Linked DNA regions of Callithrix jacchus. The protein of the gene in region 1 purifies or fractionates together with the protein of each later gene. This does not show direct contact. Links are inferred from orthologs where the notes say so. Each region holds a gene or a part of one and is shown on either strand. Other genes may lie near its edges. The genes, in order: CIAO2A and IREB2.

Region 1 (4,548 bases):
TCACTAAAACCTTTGAAAACCTCTACGTGCCATCAATCCATGCCAAGCACAGTGCCCTCACAGAGAGTGTATAAATTATTTCGATTGAGGTCTGTGAACAAGACTGCAAGAAAGTTTCACCACTTATTCCTTGGGCAACATTCAGTTAATTCGGTAATATAGATATTGAGCATCTATTGTGTGCCTGGCACCTTAGTTTCAGATACAGAAATAAGCTCCCGGCCCACTAGGTGCTTACAACTTACTAAGGGAGAAAGTTATGTAAATCGACAATTCAACATGTTCAATGCTATGATGTGCTCTGGGAGCACAGGGAAAAGAGATAATCAACTCTGGAGAATTCATAAGGCCTAACAGAGGAAGTGAGACCTCAGTGTATTAGATGTGGCTGGAAAAATATTAGGATTATCCTCTCAATTGCTGTGGAGTAACTGGAGTGAAATAGACGGCAGGGAAATTATTAAACCCTGACCAAAATTTCCCTGGGACCTAAGCTGTTCATTGGTGATTCAAAAGCCTACATCAACTAGACATGACTGGAGTTTAAAGATAAATAGGCATGTTAGGAGGGGGCAATTCGGCAAGATAATCCTATCTTCTCAATAGAGATGGCATTTGTCACCAACTTCGACAAGAGGTTTAGTGAGTTTGTTTGTAACTGCCAATTCAGGGATGGGCTCCCTCACAGGTCAGGGGAGCTGTTTATCTTTGTATCTTCCATGCCTATGGATCACTCCTGGCAAATTAGTACCTATAACTTTGATCGGAGGGATGGGTGGATAAAACAAAATCATCGATTTTGTTACTGGCATCCATGACACCCTCGAACACCAGAGGGCTTAAGATAACACTTTTAAGGATGGCGATCTCCATTATGTCACAACTGTATGCATTAGACACAGGAAACGTTCTCCTGCTCTAAGTTGTTTTTGAAGGCCATTAACAGAAATATTCGTTCCAAGGTGGGAAGCTGTGCTGGACTGAATCCCTTAGGAGACAAGAAAGCCAAAAAGCCCTCCGCATGCCATGCCTGACTACCTTACAGGCTTCCCATGACATCCCTTTTCAGAGCAACTGACACCCACTTCCTGTCCGATCAGGAAGTAAGAAAGATTTTGGCTGTTAGCGTAGAATAACTGTAGAGTCTCCGTGCTGAAAACCTCTTCCAGCACTAGAACTCAAGATCTCCTTTCCCCTACCTCTTCGGGATTTATCTTTAGCTTATCACAGATGCTGAATGAGATAATCAGTGGCAGTTAACAGACCGTTACATTCCCTTCTGCCCGCCGGACACTACAAGTCCCAGAATACAGTTCGCTGCCTTCCAAAGAAAATAGCTCACCCATCCCAGCATGCAATGCGCTAACAAGCCGCGAAGATTTTTTTCTCGTCCCGCCGAAACAGAGCAAAGCATTCTGGGACTTGTAGCCCTTGAGACGCCTTTCCGTAGGTCCTCCAAGTTACTCCGTGTCCGGTCCCGCCTATTCTCTGCTCCCCTTAACGTTTAGGCTCGTCTCGGCCCACTTGAAGACCAGGAAGTTGATCAATCCCGTGGACGGCTGCTGAGAGACGGTGGCGCGAGTGAGACAGTCGCCAGGGATGGCTGAGCGTGAGGATGCAGCGGGTGTCTGGGCTGCTCTCCTGGACGCTGAACAGAGTCCTGTGGCTCTCGGGACTCTCTGAGCCGGGAGCTGCCCGGCAGCTCCGGATCATGGAAGAGAAAGCGCTAGAGGTTTATGGTAATTAATTTTACCCAGCACAGCATTTGGCGTTATAGGTGCCGGCGGGAGGTGGGGGGTGCGGGGATGACGGCCTCACTTGAGGGCTGGGAGGGGAGACTTGTTGTGTGTGTGTGTGTGTGTGTGTGTGTGTGTGTGTCTGTCATGTCCGGACGGGGTCCTAAGTCACGCGGGAGTGTGTGTGTGTTGTGTGCCACATCTTGTCCGGAGCGTAGCAAGCGCTTTCTTCGGGGTCCTAAGTCACGCGGGAGTGTGGGTCTTTTAGGAACTGGGCTCTCCGTAAACCTGGGGCAAGCAGACCCTGGAGGTCTTAAATGCTTAATTCTCCACGTGTGGCCTACGTCTTAGAGACTATTCCAAGACTTGTGGGCAGAGCACAAGTCTAGGGTGTTTGGTTAGGAAGCAAAGCTGGCCTGATTGCACTACTAGAACTTCCTCTAGCTCCTGGACACGCACTCCTGCTACCACTGAGGGCACTGGTGGGTGACAGTTGAGTTGGGGACTGGCCCAAGGTCACAGCCACTCTGGCAAAGTCAGTAAACAGAGGTCCCCAGAAGAAGAGAACAAGATTGGCTTCTTGTAGCAAGGCCTTGTATATACACTCTTCCATGTTATATATTAAATATTTTCTATTTAGCCTTTGGGTCCATCTTTATTGTACAAATGAGGAAACAAAGGCTTAACTACCTAGAGGTCACACTGTCTGTAAGGAACAGAGCAAAAACTAAAGGCTATGCCTTCTGCTTCTAAACTTGATGTACTTTCCACCACTTCACAATTGCCTTGCAACTTTTAAAAAAAATTATTTTGTATTGTTTTTGAAAACCAAAAAGACCGGATATAATATTGAGAGATCTAACTGTAGAATACAAATATAATTCAACTATGAGAGCCAGAAAATTCCTTTTCAGAAAACTCTTGTTTCCCTAAATCCCATGATGACACAACTCTATGAAAGAGAAGCTTTATCCTCTTTCTTGCCTATGTTTCCAAATTGTTTCTTTTTTTTGAGACGGTCTCTTCCATCATCCAGGCTGGAGTGCAGTGACACAGTCTTGGCTCACTGCAGCCTCAGCCTCCCGGGTTCAAGTGATTCTCCTACCTCAGCCTCCTGAGTAGCTGGGATTACAGGCACGTGCCACCACACCGGCTAATTTTTATATTTTTAGTAAAGACAGGTTTTTGCTATGTTGGCCAAGCTGGTCCCAAACTCCTGACCACAGGTGACGCACTTGTTCAGCCTGCCAAAGTGTTGGGATTACAGGCGTGAGCTACCGTCCTTGGCAAAATTCTGTTTCTAATCAAGTGACAAACACAGGAGAAAATTAAAGACAAAATAGAGTTTGTTTTTGTTTTTCCCAGTTGCATTTCTGATTGTATATAATTTTGTGTGATAAATAATAGAACAAAACTTCAGATTATAGAACCTCAAGCACATTCTATGTAAAATTCTGCTTCTTTCCTTTCTACTTCACCATTTCTCTTTTTTTTTTTTTTTTTGAGACGAAGTCTCGTGGTCGCAGCTCACTGCAACAACCTCTGCCTCCCAGGTTCAAGCAATTCTTCTGCTTCAGCCTCCCGAGTAGCTGGGACTACAGGCATGTGCAACCATGCCCAGCTAATTTTTGTATCTTTAGTAGAGATGGGGTTTCACCATGTTGGCCAGGATGGTCTCGATCTCTTGACCTCATTATCTGCCCGCCTCAGCCTCCCATCACCATTTCTCTTTATTGTTCTCTTTTCCTTTATCTCTTTCTCCAGCCTCAGAGTAAGAAGGAAATCCTATCTTCTCCAAGGCCAACCTAGACTCCTACGTAATTAATCCCATCCCCTTCTGCTTATTTACAAGTCTCCTCTCCTCCCCACTTATATATGCAATTTCTCTCCTCAAAGTTTCCTTTATCCTTGTCGTTGTTCTAGGTTCCTTATAAAGCCACTGTCCTTTCCCTGTTCCTCCCTTCCCAGCCAAGGCCCTAGGAAGACATTTTCAGTTCCCACTTGCTTCCCCTTTTGCAAGGTGGCTTCAGCCCTCCCCCTCTCTACTGAAATTGTTTTCTTACAGCTGACAGGGTGACAAATGAAAGCCCTGTTTTAGCTGTCATCAGCCTGACTTTTTCTGCAGCATTTGATAGTATTAACCATCCCTCTCTTCCCTTCTCCAGTTCTTTTTGCATTTATTTCTCATTCTGATCCCTAAATTAGGTGCTTTGCATGGATCTGTCGGGTCTGTTTTTCTTTATACCACTTATTCTCACCCTGGGTTGCACCTAAGAACAACCTGAGGAATTTTTTTTTTTTTTTTTTTTTTTTGAGACGGAGTTTTGCTCTTGTTACCCAGACTGGAGTGTAATGGCATGATCTCGGCTCATGGCAACCTCTGCCTTCTGGGTTCAAGCAATTCTCCTGCCTCAGCCTCCCGAGTAGCTGGGACTACAGGCGCGCACCACCATGCCCAGCTAATTTTTGTATTTCTAGTAGAGACGGGTTTTCACCTTGTTGACCAGGATGGTCTCGATCTCTTGACCTCGTGATCCACCCACCTCGGCCTCCCAAAGTGCTGGGATTATAGGCGTGAGCCACCGCGCCCGGCCAACCTGAGGAATTTTTAAAACTCAAAGGCCAGCAAACCAATTAAATCAGAGTCTCTGGAATTGGGGCCCAGGCATTAGTTTCTTTCCTTCCTTCCTTCCTTCCTTCCTTCCTTCCTTCCTTCCTTCCTTCCTTCCTTCCTTCCTTCCTTCTTTCTTTTCTTTTCTTTCTCTCTCTCTCTTTCTTTCTTTCTTTCTTTCTTTCTTTCTTTCTTTCTTTC
Region 2 (3,815 bases), about 15 Mb from region 1:
GACTTGAGCCACTGTGCCCGGCCCCCACTGTTAGTTTTACTCGCCTTCTTTTGATTTAATTTTCTCCGATTTGCCCCATTAGCAGGTTCGAGACTCAGAAGTAGTGGGCCAAGTTTCACCTTTTTTTCCCCCTAAATAGAAGATTGTGGTGCCTGGCTGTCTGCTAGGAGAACAGTTCTCCTGAGACTGTTTCCTTGAGGCCATCTGCTGGGAAAAATAGTCATTTGACATGTGCTTTCTGCTATTTCATACTCACAAGTGCTTCTCTTTACAATTGTAGCTATTAAAAGGCTGGCTGCAACACAGATATCATGTAGACCTCACTCTTACTTTAACCTTTAATTTCTCCTTTAAAATTATAAATACTCTGAGGGGTATGGGAATAAACCAAAATCACAGCCTTCTAACATACTAATTATAAGTATTATTTATGAGTATTAATGGTAGGTATAGGTTCCTTTTATCCTGGAAATTGTCATAGTCTTTGTTTCTGATGTTGGAAGCTTTCCGCATATGGCAGGTAATGCTTGGCTGTCCATTTGTTAGACATTAAAAAAAAATGATTACAAGCTGTGGATGGGAGCTGGATTTGTCAGTTAGTGGACCTTACTATAGGTGATAGGTAGATAAGCTGCCTTTTTCATTAAGAGATTCTGTATGTCATTATCTGTATTTTCTCTGAGGCTGTTCAGCTTCTTCAAGGAAAGAGACTCATTCAGGATGTAGACTTCTACTTAGTCCTGTTTTCGGTGTCGTATTCTCAAGCTTCCCCTCTGCCCAGTGATTGTCAGTCTAGAGAATGTATTCTCTTCGTTATTTCCGCTATCACAAAAAAATAAGTAAAAAAAAATTTTTTTAAAGGGGTGATGGCACTCCCAAGGAACAAAAGTTGGTTCTTAGGTGGTAAAAAAAAAAGTTTTACTTTTTACATATAAAATACAGACAAATATAGAGTACATAAAAAGATACGTGGCATCTTAGTGGTATTAAACTTTTGGAGAGAAGGGGGTGAACAGGAAGACACTATTATGGAAAAATGTCTAAAAAGGCTTTTTAGGTAGACAGTGGAGAAAAAAGTTGAAAAACAGAAGTCTAGAGCCTTTGGCTCATTTTTTCCAGAGAATAAACCTCTATTCTTCTGGAGTGGGGATTGAGCTGGATCTTACTGCTTTATGTGGCCTTATAACCTGTATCCCCCCAGTATTCTGAGAACCTCATACCTCTGAATCTCAGTCCTTTTCCTGGGTCCTGCATTGCACATTAACTCAGACCTTATTGGCGTTGCTCCCTAATTTCATTTCATCATTCTCTAGTTTCAACATTGTCATCCAAATCAGTTACCTGTCTTCTAAATATTCATAGAATTCACTCATTCTATTCCCTTTGTTGCTCTGGGCTTATACCCTCTTTATTATTGTTGTTATTTATTTATATATATTTTTGGAGACATAGTCTCACTCTGTTGCCCAGGCTAGAATGCAGTGGCATGATCTCACCTCCCTGCAACCTCCACCTACCAAGCTCAAGCAATTCTCCTGCCTCAGCCTTCCCAGTAACTGGGATTATAGATTATTTTTCTGAATTTCTGAATTTTTATGGAGCTCCCTAAAATATTCTGACCTCCCCTCCGCTGCTACCACATCCAGCTAATTTTTGTGGTTTTAGTAGAGACTGGGTTTCACCATGTTGGCCAGGCTGGTCTCAAACTCCTGGCCTCAAGTGATCTGCCCACCTTGGCTTTCCAAAGTGCTGGGATTGCAGGTTTGAGACACTGCATCCAGCCTATTGTTATTTTTTAATTTTATTTATTTATTTATTTTTATTTTTTGTAGAGACAAGGTCTCAGTATATTTCCCAGGCTGATCTCAAACTCCTAGCCTCAGCCTCCAAAGTGTTGGGATTATAACCATATAAGCCACTGCACCTGGCCCCATATACCTTCTTTATTCCTTTATTTCAGTTTCATTTCAAGAGTGTTGAATGTTTCATCTGCTGTGTTTAAGTAGAAATTCTCCTGAGCCCTATTTTAGGGTCAAAGGAGCCAGCCCATTTACAGAGCTCTTATGATGTGGTAAGCAGCGGTAGTACCTAACCCTAGAGCAGTGGAGGGGGTCAGAATAATTTAGGGCGCTCCATAAAAATTCAGAAATTCAGAAAAATAATCTATAAAAAGCTTCTGTAAATACTTTGATAGAACATTGATTGAATATGAGGTATTAGACTAAAAGTGTTTAGAGAAAGGCCAGAGTAGATTTTTCTCCCCCTTTAAATGCTCAGTAAATAACTTTCAGAAGGAAAGTTATGGAGGAAATAAATGCACATTTGTTACAGGGTGTGAAAGCTGTTTTGGCTGAAAGTTATGAAAAAATACACAAAGATCATTTGATTGGAATTGGCATAGCTCCACTTCAGTTCCTTCCAGGAGAAAATGCAGATTCCTTGGGCCTCTCCGGTAGAGAAACATTTTCTTTAACATTTCCTGAAGAACTGGCTCCTGGAATTACATTGAATATACAGGTATCTCTAAAATTTTCAAATATGATTATGCACTCTACTCAGATGTTTATGAATTGATTAAGAATCAATTGCTGTAAATTATATACTAATGTCACTTAGAGAATGTTAAGTTGCCATTTAAAATGACTCTTTCCTTCATACTTAGATCTATGTTAATAATAGTTGGTGTTCTCTGAGGAAAAGTGGAAAGAACTAGATGCTTACACCAGAAAAAAAGAATACGTGGAGGGTAATCTTGACTTCCGCTTAACAAGTGTCAGCTTCCTTTTCATGGTTTTCAGTTTTTGCTGTCCTGATCTAATTTTAACCCAGGTATATATACCACTCCAAAGAGAAGGCAAAGTTGAACTTACAAGGGTAGAGCAGCACAGACTTTACAACTAAGAAAAAAAGGGAAAAGAGTAGGAGTTACTCATTATAGGCAGTGGATATTTGGTGTAAAACAAATATGAGTAGTGAGTATAACTTCCCCAATTAATAAGTCAAAATCTAACTGCAACTGTTTTTCTACTTAGCTATGAAGCCCATGGTCAGGTATCTCAGGTGTTTTTCAAGCAGCAGAAAAGTTTCAGGCAATCAGAATATAGGAAATTAGAACCAGGAGAAATCAGACAGACTATGGGGCAAGTATAGTCATTGAATGTGAAGACAGATGGTCTTAACCATCGAGTAGCACCTGGAAGATTTACGTGCTCACTTAAGATGTTTTTGTTTCTTTAAAGACAAGCACTGGAAAAGTATTCAGCGTGATTGCTTCGTTTGAAAATGATGTGGAAATAACATTATACAAACATGGAGGATTATTAAACTTTGTGGCACGAAAATTCTCATAGTATCTACTTACCATGGATACCTTTCATAACTGGTAACTGCAAAGCCTTTTGTGCTGGACCCAGGAATCCTTACCATGGAGCTGCAGATAGTCCCAGTATACTCACTTCTCTCATCCATGGATGTACATGATGATGAATCAACGTAGTGACTGAAAAGAAATCTTCTTGATTTTAAATAATTTACGAATGGTGCTATTAACATTGCTAAAATCAACGTGTGAAGTGTGTTGTGGAAGAGACCTGTAAGTATGGGGGGGGATATTTTATCAGACCATTTTGTAAATAAAGGCAGAATTCGTGTTGAAGATTCTTATATGAGTAACCTTCCTGGAGTTGTTTAGTTTTGCACCTATAAAACTGTGTACTACTGTTTGTTGGTTTAAGAGTAGCAGACTGAAATATAAGAAGCCAGATTAGACTCTAAAATTGTGGTTATTGGACTCTGATTTGTAAGTGGACCTTGAA

The links.
Region 2: the proteins of CIAO2A (region 1) and IREB2 purify together in Homo sapiens (affinity purification with mass spectrometry; 3 studies listed by BioGRID and IntAct, with this or other methods). This does not show direct contact. The link is inferred for Callithrix jacchus from reciprocal best matches to the Homo sapiens genes CIAO2A and IREB2.

What each region holds. Positions count from the first base shown.
Region 1 is NC_133509.1:10,897,019-10,901,566, reverse strand, and holds the start of CIAO2A (cytosolic iron-sulfur assembly component 2A), read left to right. Parts: upstream 1-1,433; 5' UTR 1,434-1,615; coding exon 1,616-1,739; intron 1,740-4,548. UniProt on the Homo sapiens protein: Component of the cytosolic iron-sulfur protein assembly (CIA) complex, a multiprotein complex that mediates the incorporation of iron-sulfur cluster into extramitochondrial Fe/S proteins.
Region 2 is NC_133509.1:25,860,719-25,864,533, forward strand, and holds part of IREB2 (iron-responsive element-binding protein 2), read left to right. Parts: intron 1-2,331; coding exon 2,332-2,517; intron 2,518-3,239; coding exon 3,240-3,350; 3' UTR 3,351-3,815. UniProt on the Homo sapiens protein: RNA-binding protein that binds to iron-responsive elements (IRES), which are stem-loop structures found in the 5'-UTR of ferritin, and delta aminolevulinic acid synthase mRNAs, and in the 3'-UTR of transferrin receptor mRNA.